Linked DNA regions of Coturnix japonica. The protein of the gene in region 1 purifies or fractionates together with the protein of each later gene. This does not show direct contact. Links are inferred from orthologs where the notes say so. Each region holds a gene or a part of one and is shown on either strand. Other genes may lie near its edges.

Region 1 (4,687 bases):
AGAGCTGGGAAAAAAAACAACAAAAACAACTGCTGTCTGTTTGCCCAGCCCTTGTCTGTTCAACCAGGGCTAGTATTTCATTCATTTTCAGGTGTATAGATCTAACAAAAAGAGGAAATCCCTCTTGTTCTGTTCTTATGAAATGTTCTTAATGTCAGTACTCTGTGATGTTGTTTCCTTGGAGATGGGATTCCTTAGAGATGAAACCACAGAAGAATGTGGTACAGAAACAGAGGCAGCACTGAATGAGACAGGGAGCGGAGGCTGACTCCAGTTTACTTTAAGGATGCTTTATCCTGCTGTGAATGCTCACAGGGGATAAGATTAAAACACCAGTCTCTCATATTTGCCAAATAATACAAAGCAGCTTTGTGTGCACAAGAATTAGCCCTTGAAGTCTAGACATCTTACAACAGAGGAGCTTGGACAGGGACCATTATTCTAAGCCATAGAAGGAAAAGGTCCCCAAAACTCACCTAGTACAAACAACAGGAGAGGAAGTGTACTAGATTTAATGCCTTGCCCCCCCCACTGCCCTTCTCCAGCAAATCTATAACACAGCAAGACAAAAGGAAAGTTTTCTTCTTCTGCTACCATCTGTAACAACAGACCACACACTCACTTAAGACTGTGCTAACTATAATAGATCCATGTTTCCTACACCCAAAGCTATCGACCTAAGGTGGCTTCATCTGAGAATCTAGGTGTAGACCACTGTCCCAACCAGATCACCTTCCGTAGGGCAGGGAAACAAAGGAGTTTTGCTCCAGATCTCAGTCAAGACATCCCTGTCCAGGAAAGATCTAAGCAGCTGAGAGGCACTGACAGCAGCCTAAGATGTCTTTGCAGCACTCTTCCCAGCATGGAAGATATTAACTAAGCTGGTGCAGCAGCACGCCCTGCCCCTTCTGTCAGCCTCCTCCACACGATGCCTGTGGCAAAGCCTGTTGGCTTTATCAACTTTCTTCTTCAAATGACAGCAAGTATTCATCTAGGGTTACATTTGGAGGCAACCCAGCCACATACATACAGACTATCCATGATTCCACAGGGTCACTCTGAAAACCACATTCCTCAGATGACTGCTCACCTCTTTCCTTCAAAGCAAATCATTAACACAAATAGCCAGCTGTGAAGTGTTATCAAGAAGTTTATTGGCAGAACATTCATCCTTTGCATGCCAGTTACAGCAGAGATGGAGGCAAGCCTCTGCTAATGTATTATTTACTTCATCTTTATCTCCCTGAAACAGGAGTTGATGTCTGGAGCAAACCATGTGCCCACTAATCAACAGAAGTGTTTCTTCCAGCACAGCTGAACCAGCCCTTCCTCAAGAAGGATTCTGTCCGCATGCCCAAGAGTTCAAAACACTGTCACAGCAACACAGGGAGCCCTGACGTTTCTCAGAAAGCAACAGCCCCAACACTCTGTCAGAGTCCACTGAGGGCTAATCTTAATCATTTGCTCTCACATTACAGACTGCTATCCTCCAGAAATAAAACCAGGAAAAACAAACAAACAAAAAATACATATATTATATATATATGCATATCAAACCTCCACTAACTAGAATCCAAAATAACTTCTGGAATAAAAAAGTGCTGTTGGAAGCATACCAGGAGAGAGAAAAGAAACAGCCTAGTGCGTGCCCAACAGGTAAACTGCTTCTCCATAACAACAGCAGTATACTGTATCTGAGCATCACACAGACAGGCAGCAGCCCAGAGCACACCAGTCATCACTGCAATGGCACAGAGTGGTCCACGAAGGGGCTGAGGGCAGTTAGATCTCTCTCTCACCACCCCCCCACTGCAAGGGTACTCATAATATATTTCAAACAACCCAAGAAAATGCTCCAGAATGTATATTTATTAATTTTCTAGCTACCTCCCGCACTGCATGTTCCAATATGGCTAAAAAGTCCTTTATGATGCGTTTGTGTAAGAAAGTATCTATTACTTGCCAAGAAGAGAGAGAGAGAGAAAAAAAAAAAAAATCTAACTAGCTGCCAATGTCACAGAAGCGAGAAGTTACGCCTATCAGACAAAGGGGTTAAACAAAAAGGAAGTACCTCATCCACTGAGCATGAAAACAGCACCAGTCAGTGCTATCACGTGCTACAAAGGCCAGAAGTCCAGCCAGGTTTATTATATGCACTGACAGCAACCACCCTGCACTCAGGAGTCACTGCGTCCCAGACTACAGTACTGCTCACTTCTTGGCAGCTGTTATGCTCACTAATAGTGATGGAAACAAGGTAGATTGCGTTCTCCTCTGACAATAGCCATTTTGTGTGGAGGTGGGCATCAGACAATTCTCTCACACAGCCACTCCCTGTTCCACAAATGGGAAAGTGAAGCACATAAACCAGGCGGACTGGAAACCCAGGGCAGAGCAAAGTGAGTAAGACCAGACTCATTCCCAAGCCCTGTGCTGGTCTATCAACTATGACACTTCAAAAGCAGCGTCTGAATATTACAGCTGTGAGGAATGATTGAATTGCTAAATTTTACACACTTTATAGGCAAATAAATGCCTATTTGCTGCGTATCAGAGCAGCGTTCTGCCCTTCCTCCTCCAAACACAAAGTATTAGATGACTCACCTGTCAGAATAGTCTGGAAAGCTGCTTCCACATTTGTAGAGTCTAAAGCAGATGTCTCGATAAATGACAAACCATTCTTCTCTGTGTGGACAGAAATACTATAATTAGAGATGTATAACATTTATCTCCCATCCAAAAGAACTTTTGTACCAGACAACGTACGAGGTGTTGCTGATGAGATAGATGCATTAGTGCTAAAAAAAAAAGCATTAAAAGTTGTAGGGTTTTCCTCTTTATGATCTGAAACCATGCACAAAACACAAACCTAAACCCACCAGCAGAGCTTCTACAAGAAAAGCAATGCATAGGCACGGAACTAAGTCTGTTTTAAAACTGTTTTCAAGTGCCTCTGGCAGATTCTTGAGAGTCTATCAGCATACAGGCTCTATAGGACTTCAATTTTAACTGAATGAAAAAAGACATGCAGCAGTACGTGGCACTGAGTCTTTTCCCTCCTACCTGTACACTCACGTATTTCACATCAGGTAGGCAGAGTCTGGACAGTTTGAATTAGGAAATTCTTTTGAGTTCACCAACCTGCAAAAGCTCTGGCCTCATCTGTAGGGACTGCTCTCAGGTGGCGCAAGTCACTCTTGTTTCCCACAAGCATGATTACAATATTGCTGTCTGCGTGGTCTCTCAGCTCTTTCAACCATCTCTCGACATTCTCGTAAGTAAGGTGCTTAGCAATGTCATACACCAGTAATGCCCCTACAGCACCTCGATAGTACCTGTGGGTGAAGAGATGTGTTACAGAACCAGCAAGAAACATGATGGAAAGTGACAAGCTACTGAGTAATAACTGTTTCCCACTACTGCAAAGACAGTTATATTAAAAATAATAATAACACACAGCATGATACATGGGACTTGAAGCAGCTGAAATACAGCATCCAGACCAGGGTTAATCCGTGTGACCACAACAGCAGCCAGGGCAGCTCAGGGGCTGGTGGGTTACCCTGCACCTCAAAAATGAAGCACTGTATCTGTGGGGGATCTACTGTCACCTTCAGCCTCTGACCCACACCTGAAAGGCTCCCCACCCACCATTGTGGGTGCAGCACAGGCACAGCCCGGAGCAGCAGGAAGACTTTATAATGACTCACTGGATCATAAAAAAAAAAAAACCATCAACTTGATGTGTTCTCTTTATGAAATGCCCCATTTGGTTTCCTCTCAGACCAGGGAGAGGCACAGTTACACATTCAAAAAGAAAGAGGTTGTGCTTTCCCACCCCACAATTACCTCCAGCTTTATTCAAATCGAGCTTTAGCTGTGCTGTTTTTTTCATTAAACACACAAAGTGAGCAGTGCCTCCCTACTGATACAGGAGGTGTTCTGGTCATAGGTTACCACTGATAAAACCTCCATCATCACAGCTATTATTTCATCAGTGACTTGCATTTAAATAAGTCTCTCAGCTCAGAAACGCCTCCAGTTACATATCATGAGAGCAGTGAGAAGTAAATCTGTTCATACTATGTCAAGCTTCAGGACAGAATAACATTCAAGCTTCCTTTCCCCATATTATATGTAGATATTATAAGAGAAAATAAAACCATCCTATTCTGCAGTTTGAGGAATCAGAAGGGCCCCAAGTTCACCCTCCTCAGCAAAAGCTTCTCTCCGGCCATACAGGCTGCCACTTACGCTGATGTTATAGCTCGGTATCGCTCCTGCCCTGCTGTGTCCCATATCTGAGCCTTTATTGTCTTCCCATCGACTTGAATGCTTCTTGTTGCAAATTCTACTCCAATGGTGCTTTTGCTCTCCAGGTTGAACTCATTGCGTGTGAAGCGTGACAGGAGGTTACTCTTGCCTACTCCAGAGTCTCCAATAAGGACAACTAGAAGAAAGAAATGACATTGGAATCACATCCCAGATGTAGAATATCTGCTGACAACCACCTGCAATGAATACATTTGTTTTCCAGAATAAAACCCAAAGGACAAGAATAGCAGAACCACCTCCCTCCTTGTCAGGGGTCTGTTGTCCAAGCCTTGAGATTTCCAGATAACCAGTGCTGTCACACCAGCATTTCAGACAGACTTCAGACATGGTTTTCAGCAGTTACCATTTCAGT
Region 2 (5,223 bases), on another chromosome or scaffold:
ATCTCACTAATTACACAAGGAGGTATCTCAGGGGACTGGCATCACGTAATTACTTCTCTTCAGGTCACCATGCAAACCAATCAGTGAACTGTCAACTTTTACTACATCCCGAACTTGCGGTCTCAGCAAGATTCTCAGAATGCTGTTATTTAAACACTGAGTCTTGTTTTGATGACAAGATTGTACCGTTTCCTATCACAGCACTTGCCAGCTACCAGCACGCTCCCTTCTGCTGCAGGCAGATCACTCCCTCAATAGCAATGCACAGTGAGAGGTTCAAACAATGCAGCTGCCCTTCCCAAATTCCTTAACTCCTAAACACTTAGCTTTGTGGAAAATCTGCACCCAACAAAGGAGCATCCCATTCTGATGCTTCACTGACACAACACAGAAGAGTGCAAAAACTTAGTTTTGTTTTCATGCAGGATTGCTCTGTGGATGATGGGATTATGTATTTGTAACATGATGGAAAGCACAGCAATGACAGCAGAGCAGCAAGGTCCCAGGCTGCAACAAGTGAGGATTTGCTCAAACAGCTGTGGGCACAGAAGCAAAGGAAAGAAGCCACTTACCTTCAGAAAGCCTCAGGTGTGCAGGGATCTCCAGCAAGACACCCTCACCTCCACTGCCAACCCTTATGGCTGGGAAGGGGTGGATCCTGGCTTCACCCCTTCCATCACTCAGGTACATTACATACACCTGAACTCCACTGGGTTGGCCCTGCCTTCAACCAGGTGCTCCATCACTGCTTCAAGCAGAGACTTAGCATTTCCACTACAATGTTTTGTAATAGATTTTGCAGACCACATTTCAAGTAAAATGCCTCTAACTTCAGTATCCTTATGTGACACCACCAGTAACAGCAGTTTAACAAATAGAGGAGTTAAAAGTTACCTACAAAGATTGGGCAACAGGGGAAGAAAATTCCTATTTCACCTGCATAAACACAACACAGGTCTGATTAACAGAAATGTCAAGTAAACACTTGAAGATCTCTGTAGTTATTTAACTGCAGAACTCATCCCAGTACTGATCAGCCTAAAGAAGGCCACTCTCCCACTAGCAGCTCTAGTGCAGCACCCACTCAAACAATAGTATTTAGCAACTCCTCATTACAGAGTAAGTGAACTGTGTTTCTTCATAAGAAATAAAGTGGGTCATGTACCTGTATCCAAACAAGTGTGCCTTACTTCACGTTCATCTCTCCCAGCCGACATCCTCCTGATCCTGCCTAGAATCATTGCTGAGGTTTTTTTTTTCCTTGACCTTTTTTCAGTTACAGCCTTTTGGCAACAGGGTGACAGAGGTTAAATCAGGATGTTTTTTGCCATGCTGCCTCCCCCCCCCCCCCCCCCCCCCCCACTCCACTAACAACAGATGCCATCACTGACTGGCTACACTGGCACTTATATCTCTTTTCCTAAGATCCTGAACTGCTTACAGAAACAGACGTTGCTTTGGAGCTAGTAAACAGCAAGATGTTCATACACCATACCAAAAGCAGAGTTACACATCAAAAGTCCTGCAGCAGAAGGGAAGGATGTAGGCCTCACCACAGGCAATACAGAAGCGTGCAGTCATTTTATTATTCAGGACTTCTATATGAGCAATTACTAAACTTCCCCATGCAATTGCGATTCTACAAGCCTGCTTCCAAGAAGCACCAATGTAAATATGAAATCAGCTCTCAGGAAATCCCAAAGCTTATTCAGAGAAAACACTCTCTCTGTGTTGTTAATACAGATTGAATATCAGACTGAATGACAGATTCAGTACCTTTATTGCAGACTAAGCCCTCTGAGATCACCTCCTTATTTGATGCCATCAATCCGAGCCAGTGATGCATTCTTATAGGTTACGGAAGAGCAATAAGAAACCTAAAGGAACTTCAGTTTTAATTTCTTTTAATTTATTCCATAGCAAACCCTACTTAATACGGGTGGGGGAAACTTGCAAGTCTGGACAGACAGCATTATTTGTAGGAAATAAAAGGTAAGATATGGAGCTGGAACGGATTTCATGGCTCACTTCGATCAAAGGATGGAAGTTTCCTGCTTCCCACTTCTGTTTTCAGCCACAAATCCCACACCTTCACCCTACCCTGTCTCCATCCTCTCAGGCCGCAGCTGTTTTAACTCACTGAAGAGGTTTTGCTGTTCCTTGTTTTCAGCTGCTTTCAGTCACCGAGTTAAAACAGCTCAGAAGGGTTCGGTGATCACTAGCACCTGGGCAAGGTGAGAAGCTGGAGCATAACCATGTTTCTGTAACAACATGCTGCTAACTCAATCTCACTACACCTTGCAGAGCTGTGTGCCGAGATGCATTTTTAACCAGGCTATGTAAAAAGTTAAGTTAGGAACAGCTTTGCTATAGGATGCATGAGAATGTAAATCCAGTCTTTCCCTTGTTCAAAGCATGCAATGGCCGCTGCCACAGGTTAAAACAAACCCTTGGTCAATTATTAAAGCTCCAGAGGATGGATTCCACAACCCATATCTTGTTGCTCTTCAAAGGAGCTACGTGGCACCTCATCCTGCAAGGTCAAACCGTGGAGAGGTTTGGGTTGAGACTGTGTGAAAAACCAGAGCTGACACAACCCACCGAGCACAAAGCCAGAAAGATAATTACCATTTAAAAACAGGGAGCGCGTTTGGTTAATGGCAGCAACACAATGAGGCAGCTTCGAGCTAACAGGTGCAGGGAGCTGTGCTATTAAATGCTGTTCAGAACTCACTGCACGGAATCGTACTTAACACCCAGGCAACGCCATTAAAACCATACGACAGAGTGCACCTGAAGTTGTTTAACAGGCAGCACCCTGCTCGCTTCTTCTGCCCCAGAAAAATCACATCTTCCCATCACCAAAAGGAGATCTGCGCTACCAAATCGCACCGCAGCGCATCCCACCCGAGACCCGCATCCCACCCGCCCGATGAAGGCTCATCTCAGCCCAGCAGGATAACGGCGATGCCAGCCCACCCCATCACCCGCTGTGTGGGGATGGGGGGACGCGGGGCCGGGCTCTCTCAGCTCCCCACAAGCTCCGGGACGGCGAGGGGGGGCCGGGCCGAGGGAGGGGAGGAGGAGGCAGGGCAGGGCAGGGCGGCGGCCGCACGAGACTCACGGCGCGGGGGAGGCGGCCGCCAGGTGCACATCTTCGGGCGCATCGTAGAACTCCTCGGTGTCGCTGTCTGAGGCCATGGCGGGGCCGGGCAGCACCGGGCTGGGCCGAGCCGCCAGCAGTGCAGCGCCGCGGGGCCGCGGCCACGTCCGGGCAGGACGGGACGGGCAGGCGGGGGACGGGAATGTATCGCGAGAGTAAAGGAGGCACCGCCCCGTGCCGGGAGGAAGTGAGGGAGGGGAGAGGAAGCGGCGTGATGGCGGGCGCCATCTTGAGGAGCTGAGGGGGCAGCGCCGCTGTGGGGCTGTGCCCTAATCCGGCCGTCATTCATGTGCACACAATGTAGGGCTGCACCTTCCTGTTGCCTTAAAATATCATACAGCTTCCCAGCCAAACCAGCTGGGATGTCAGGAAGGAGACAGGTTGGAAAAGCACAAGTTGATTCACCCAGTTCCTCTTAAAAATAAGCAGTGTGCATCTCAAACTCTTCGTGCTGAAATAAGGGCAAATTAGTGGTACATAACATTACTGACTTGTTATTCACTGCTCCTGCTCTGACAGCCAAACATGCTGATCGCATTAGCGTCAATGGGATGGTCTCTGAATTATTAAAGACAACAGTGATGTAACCCTAGATGGGAAGGCAGACAGCTCTGGAAGCTGAGGGGGGGGGAAAGAAAAAGAAAAACAAAACAAAAAAGCTATTGAAAAGCATCTTGAATTGTTTAGCAGCCTGTCAGTAACTGAGAGCAGCTGCATGGCTTCATGTTTTGTTACACGAAGGAGATTATATAGCTGCAGAATTAAGGAACTCTAAAATAAAAACGCAGCTCAGGGATTTAATCAGGTCTACGTAGCTATTAGTGCAGTCTAACTGCAGTGGGCTTGATCTTCATGCTCCAAAAGCATTTGCCTTTTGCATCAGAGCAAAAGAGCTCCTCCAGAACAGGAGCATTACAACCACAGCTCACTGTGGTACAGCCCGACTAGCTTTGTCCATGGAGGCAAATAGAATACTGGCTTTGGAGGTCTTGTCGAGCACCTCTAAGCATCAGGAAATGCGCTTGCCAGAACAGAACCTGAGCAGGAGGTGTTAGTGCTGGCTGGCAGCTAATGCAGGAACAAAGCTCAAGTTCTTCACAGTGCTGCCAGGGCTTTGTAGAGCTCCGTTGTCTGTGCTGTTTGTGGAGAGCTGCACGAGAATGTAATAGGGACAAAGTTTTCAGGGACAGAAGATAAATGTTTTGATTGGGATTTACAGATGACCTGAGTGTTTTCTTGCTAGGGCTGGCACAGTCTTTCCCATGTTGCAGACAGAGATGAGCACTGAGGCTACTGCGCCAGCACTGACGAGCTGTATCCCCACAAGCCTGCTCCCCTCCTGATGTGGGGATGATATATTCTTTTCCCTTTGGCTTAGATGTGAATTTCCCCTGGCCTCCCATGAATCAGGGCTCACATGTTAGCCTGTCCCCAGCACCCCATGGTGTCAGCAGGACCATCCTACCAAGAGCAGTACTGGAAGGTTCTCAACCTTTGGCCATTGCCAGGCTGACTTCTGGCAGAAAAAGTTGCGTTTGCTTCACTGAGTGTGCTGCTGCTTTCCTGGTTTGGAGGCCCAGGAAGCACAGGAATCTCTCTCCATTGTTTCCTAGCTCATTTGCTAGCAGTGCTGACATTGGCAGATAGGTCTTCCTTCCACTAAATCTTAACATACTCACTACAGACCAATACAGGGTAGATTTAAAGCTTCTGCTGAACATTACCAGTCTCCTGATTCATCTAGTCTCCTAGGGACATAGGCTTTTAAAGTAGAATTATTATTATTTTTATTATTGCATTAAAAACTAAGGACGAGAAGTATCTTCTGAACTGGTTACCTCCACAGCCAGTGGGGGATCTCCTGCCTGTCTCAGGACTGCATGGAGACGCGCAAGGGTAGAAATGCTGATTCCGCATCATCCATGGGATGGGGAGGTAGAAATTGAACCCAAAACATATGGCTGACCAAAGATTCACTCCAAGGTCTCCTGCATCTGATTTCAGAGCTTGGAGATGCTTGTCTGTGTGGCTGTGTTCCCCAGGATATGGTGTTTTGTAAG
Region 3 (5,151 bases), on another chromosome or scaffold:
GAAGTAGGCCTTATTCTTGACAACTTTCACAAACCCCTTGAATAACAAAAATAAGACATTACTAACATGGACCCACATAAGCCAAGGCCATCCAAACTAAATGAATCACTATTAATAAAACTGGTGGATCAGGAATAAGATGACAGGTTTTCATATGCAATGAGTTCAAAACCATCTTAAGGAAGTGACAGCGGGATTTTTATCCTTCACACAAACTTCCCTGCCCGTGACTTCAGATTTGCAAGAGAGAAAGAAATCGTATCTATTAATAAAACATTTGTCTGCACAGACTAACTGCCACAGCTCCTCACTGCCAGTCACTCCCACAGAGCTGGAGCTATAGTCCCTCGGCCGTTTCACCCTAACTCCCCCTACAGAAACGAGGAGCTGTCCTAGCACCGCCCCGACTCAATCGGCGCCCAGCCCCGCCGGTCTCAGAGCAGCACCCTCGGCAGGACAAGGCCGGCCCGTCAGCCGCCGGCTCCCCACCCAGGTGCCGTGTCACCGCGGGCCCGGCCCCGGCTGCCGCCCGTCCTCGGCTCCCGCTCCCTCTCGCCGCCACGCGGCCCGCCACGCAGCGAGGGGCTGCGGGGAACCGGGGGCAGCGGCGGGGACGAGCCGGACCGTGCCGGACCCCGCGGGGCTCGGCTGGAGCCGCCGCGATCCGCCCTGCGGCGCAGCCCCCGTGCCGCAGGCAGCCATTGCCACGCCGGAGCCGCGGCGGCCGGCGGCGGGCCCGGCTCAATCGGGCTCCATCCGGGCCGGAGGAGCCGCGCGGCGGGCGCGGAGCGGAGGCCGGAGCCGTGCTACGGCTTGGGGGTCCCGTGGGGCCGGTACTGACCATCGTGCCAGGTACTGTCCGGTCTAGGCCTAGGCCGGGGCCCGCTCCGCACAACGACTGCAGCCACTGCAGGGGGGAAAAGGCCGCTCCCACTGCGCAGCCGCAGCTCCTACCCTGCGCCGCGAGGCGGGGCGCCGCAGCTCGGCCCGACCCCAAGGCTCGACACCGCCCGCTGCAGGAACGGAGGAGCGACAGCACCGCGACCCCGCATCGCACGGGGAACCGGCACTGTACGGAGTGAGGGCAACGGGGACAGGAGACAGCCGGGAACGGAGCGGGAACGGCCGCCGCCTGCAGCACCTCTGTATGTGTATGGGCTGTATGTGTGTGTGTGGGACAGGCAGGTCCCGCGCTAATCCCTTGGAGCTGTGAGAGAAGCGCAGAGCAGCACCTTTGGACGTGACGCGTTTCTCTGCTTGGCCTCACTTAAAAACAACAAATAAACGATCATATTTTGAATATTAAACGTTATTTTAAAAAGTCGTACATCTGCTACAAGCGATCTCAAAAGGACAAAAGAAAGAACAAAGCGCTCCTTAGTCACACAAGAACCGGCGCCGATCCCGTACCTCACACAGATCACAGAATGACCCGGGTTGGAAGGGACCTCAAGGATCATGTAGTTCCAACCCCCCGCCTGGCAGGGCCACCAAACATACACCTTTACTAGATCAGGTTGCCCAGGGCCTCGTCCAACCTGGTCTTGAACACCTCCAAGGACGGGGCATCCATGCCGCATCTCCATCTACCTCAGCTCCAGCTCCGGAACCGCGGCGCTCTGCCCGCTGTCCTGGCTCTGAGCTGCCGCCGATCGCAGCACCCGGTAACACAGCACCCGGTAACACAGCACACGGTAACACAGCACACACACACGGTAACACACACACGGTAACACAGCACACACACGGTAACACACACACACACACCCGGTACCACACACCCGTTACTCCACAGGTGGGTCCAGGCGGCCCCGCCCCGCCCTCACAAATTCGAGGCCTCCCAGCTGTGCGCGGTGCTGCCCGGCGCTATGGCTGCGGCTCAACAGGGCTCTGCGCTCTCTGAGGTAAAAATGCCAGTTTTTGATGTGATCATTTTTACCGGTAACTTTTAACGGTAGAAGGAGACTCGTACGGGTATGATTTCTTGATGCAGTTTCTCAGCTCGCGCTGTGTTTGCGGTGCTGTGCTCTGGTTGCCCTCCTCACTCCGCTGCCGTGTGGGGCTGGTGTGTGAAGCTGCTCCGCACTGTGCTGCTGCTCAGACTGCGTCCCTAACATGTGTTCTATGGGGTACCACGCGTGTCTCCTGTTAGCGCCCTTCAGTTCTGTGCTTTAAGCTTTCAGGACGGTTCTAAACAAACAAGAACCCGACAGGCTCCTGCCCGGAGCTGCTCTCATCTGTTTTCGGGATCCCGGTGTCAGGCTGAGGCCGCACAGCGCTGCCCGGAGCGTTACGGCTGGACGCGGTGTGGGCCGCCGGTCGGGCGCTACGGCGGCACCACGAGGCGCTGGGACGGAGCGGGTGCCCGGTGGCACCGCCTGGTGTGAGGGGCGGGCGGCGCGTGCCGGTGCGGTGTGCGGCACGAGGGAACCGGCGGCGGGAAGAGGCGAGGTGCGGTGCGGTGCGGGCCGGCCCGCCTCGCGTTTCGCCGTTGCGGAGCTGCGGGGCAGGCTCGGCAGACCCGGCCGTCACCCGGCTTCGCGGCGAGCGAATGAACGGCGGCGAGGCCGGAGCCGTGCTGCCGCCCCTGCCATCGGGCGCTGCTGCCGGCGGTAGCGGGGCCCGTTATCGGCCGTGTCGCGTGGGCAGCCCGCCACGCCCGAGCCCTGGGTGCTGTGAGGAACAGGCCCCTGCGGGCCAGGCCCGGCGCTGCGGGGGCGCGGGGCAGACCCTCGCGGCGGCTGCGCGCACACTGCGCCTGCGCGGCGCTGGCAGGGACGTGGCCCGGCTGCCGGGGCCGGCGGGGACAGCGGGAGGCGGAACGGGCGGGACGCGGCTGGGCGGCTCGGCGGGGCTCGGCGGCGGGTTACGGGGCACGCCGATGCTCGCGCCTCTCTGTCGCGGGCGACGCTTCCAAGGTGAGGCGCGGTCAGGGCGCCCCCGCCGCTGAGGGGCCGGGGGCGGGGCGCGACGGGGCCTAGGCGGGGTGCGGCGGCGGCCCGGCCGCGATGTCCGGCCCGGAGAGTCGGGCCGGGCGGTGCCGCTCCCGGAGCCCGGTGGGCTGAGTCGCTCAGCGCCGGGTTCTGTTCACCGCGGCCGGGCCGGGGGCCGTGGGGGCCGTGCACCTCGGGCCGGCCGGAAAGGTGGGTAATACGGTGGGGAGAGCGTGACTCCGTGGGGCTGGCAGGCCGGGGTGGGGACAGGGAGCAGCGCTCGTGTTTGGTCTGCGGTGCGTTCACAGGGGTTTATCTGTAAAGGGAGATTTTTCTCAGTCACGTTTTTATGGAGGTATCGTTAAAGCAGGAGCCTTTGGGTGTGTGGTTGTTGAGAAGGTGTTCTCAAATGGTGCTTTAGAGGTCTGTCTCACTGACACCTCGTGCTTCATCTGCACCGACTTGATCGTTTAATAAGGGCAAGAAGTCGGTGTTGGTGTTGTGGCTGCTTAAGGTTCTTTTCAACTTCGGTGTCCAGAGGTGTTCTATAGTCACACGGAATTCCTGCTCGTTTCCTGCGTTGCTGATCGGAGGGCAGTTTGTGAGAGGTTGCCATGGTGTGTTTGGGGTTGTCACTGTGAGCTGGTATAATCAGGTAGCACATTTTAAAGCATTCTTACATTGTCCTGAGTCAGTTTTTTCTGACAAGTGGCCTACAAGAGCTGTAGGAAGGAGTCACATCTGTACGGAGGAGATTGGCAGCATTTCGTGTTTTCCTTATCTCTGTAAGTGTTTGTCAGGAAACTCAAGTTGTTTTGTGTTTTTTTTTTCCCTAACTCTTTTTTTTTTTTTTCTATTCACTTGGCGGCTAAAAGATGTGCTAATTGGATTCTCTTTGTTTTTCCTGTGGATATTTTGCTTAAATGCACTTATATATCTTCCCTTCTAGCCTCCAGTTTCCACTTTGGTCGTGGTCATACAGCTCTGTATTTGCATACAGATGTCAATATTTAAAGGCATTTTGAGGTAGCTAAGTATAAGCACAATTTCAAGCAGTGGTTAGGAGAGGAAATAAAGGACGATGAAAGAGGGACAATCAGGAGGAAAACACCAGCTATTATGAATCAACATTGCTTGAATTTGATTAAGCTGGGATGAGAACAGCTGTGGTGAATATCCCTGAGGTCCAGCCAGCCCAGCAGTGCCTCTGAGAGCAGCAGATGTTTGGAGAAGAACAATTAAAAACAAGAGTCTGTTTCCTCCTCAGATCTCTGAGCAGGCTGAGGCTCAGGCGCTTCCTGAGCTGGAGGTCAGTGGTTTGGATGGATTCTTCGCGTGTCTTTTTTCATTGCCTTCTGTGTGTTTTTCTTCTGTAGGCTGGTCCTGATGGGATTTGAGCAAGTAAACAGGTGATAGCTGGTGAATGGAGCAGGTAAAATGGAGGTGGTGAGGAGGAGGAGGTGGGAGAAGCTTCTCAAAGTTGACAGAAGGGCTGGGGGAAAGTGAAGTGCTTGAGTAGTTGGTGTCAGCTGCTTCTTTGGATAAGGGTGAGAGAGAAGTATTTGAAAAATGGAGAATAGGGGGAAGTGAAGTTCCTTGTCAGGGCACTTTGAAAACCAGGGTTGTTTATCTTGTTCATTCAGTGTTCTCATGTAACAGTCTAAAAGGAAAAAAAAAAAACTGGTTGTTCTTTGCTTGAGCAGCTTTTTTCCTTACCTTCATTTCATACTCTGAATTCAGTATTTTTTTTCCAATATTTTTTTTTCTAATAAAAATATGTTCTTAATTATAAAAGCAAGCAGTCAATACATAAGTTTATAATAGTGATCTGTGACTCTTAAGGCTCTCTGACGTTTTGACAGTGTGATGGTGTTTTCAGACAGCATGCTGAGTTAAAGCCCTGTGTCCTATTTACCTTATGAAAACCAACATGAGCTGTTGGTAATTTTTTGGTTCATTTAAATGGGGAGTACTGTCTTCATTATAGTCATCAGCTTAAATATCTTTGGTTAAAGAGCGTCTTTTCCTTCTGCAGCAAGTGGTGGTTGGAATAACTGGGGGTTGGCAACTGGGCTTAGTCATAATGGAGGGGGACTGAGCTTACTTTGCTCAGCTCATGTTCAGCAGTGATGTATCCCTGTTGTTTACATGCATGCTTAGCAAAAGCTGCATGCCCACAAGGTAGAGGCAGAAGTGATTTAGCAGAAGTCTGGCTTAT

What was found. The genes of interacting proteins can lie anywhere in the genome.
Region 2: the proteins of RAB11A (region 1) and WDR44 purify together in Homo sapiens (affinity purification with mass spectrometry; 3 studies listed by BioGRID and IntAct, counting the BioPlex papers as one, with this or other methods). This does not show direct contact. The link is inferred for Coturnix japonica from reciprocal best matches to the Homo sapiens genes RAB11A and WDR44.
Region 3: the proteins of RAB11A (region 1) and EVI5 purify together in Homo sapiens (co-immunoprecipitation; 3 studies listed by BioGRID and IntAct, with this or other methods). This does not show direct contact. The link is inferred for Coturnix japonica from reciprocal best matches to the Homo sapiens genes RAB11A and EVI5.

Annotation. Positions count from the first base shown.
Region 1 is NC_029525.1:16,455,908-16,460,594, reverse strand, and holds part of RAB11A (ras-related protein Rab-11A), read right to left. Parts: intron 4,451-4,687; coding exon 4,255-4,450; intron 3,336-4,254; coding exon 3,142-3,335; intron 2,686-3,141; coding exon 2,605-2,685; intron 1-2,604. UniProt on the Homo sapiens protein: The small GTPases Rab are key regulators of intracellular membrane trafficking, from the formation of transport vesicles to their fusion with membranes.
Region 2 is NC_029519.1:3,211,304-3,216,526, reverse strand, and holds the start of WDR44 (WD repeat-containing protein 44), read right to left. Parts: upstream 3,315-5,223; 5' UTR 3,202-3,314; coding exon 3,125-3,201; intron 1-3,124. UniProt on the Homo sapiens protein: Downstream effector for Rab11 which regulates Rab11 intracellular membrane trafficking functions such as endocytic recycling, intracellular ciliogenesis and protein export.
Region 3 is NC_029523.1:12,180,891-12,186,041, forward strand, and holds the start of EVI5 (ecotropic viral integration site 5 protein homolog), read left to right. Parts: upstream 1-1,837; 5' UTR 1,838-1,868; coding exon 1,869-1,904; intron 1,905-2,431; exon of another isoform or gene 2,432-2,451; intron 2,452-2,783; exon of another isoform or gene 2,784-2,918; intron 2,919-3,024; exon of another isoform or gene 3,025-3,143; intron 3,144-5,151. Other genes in the region: RPL5 (60S ribosomal protein L5), read right to left, coding at 1-36, 842-844. UniProt on the Homo sapiens protein: Functions as a regulator of cell cycle progression by stabilizing the FBXO5 protein and promoting cyclin-A accumulation during interphase. May play a role in cytokinesis.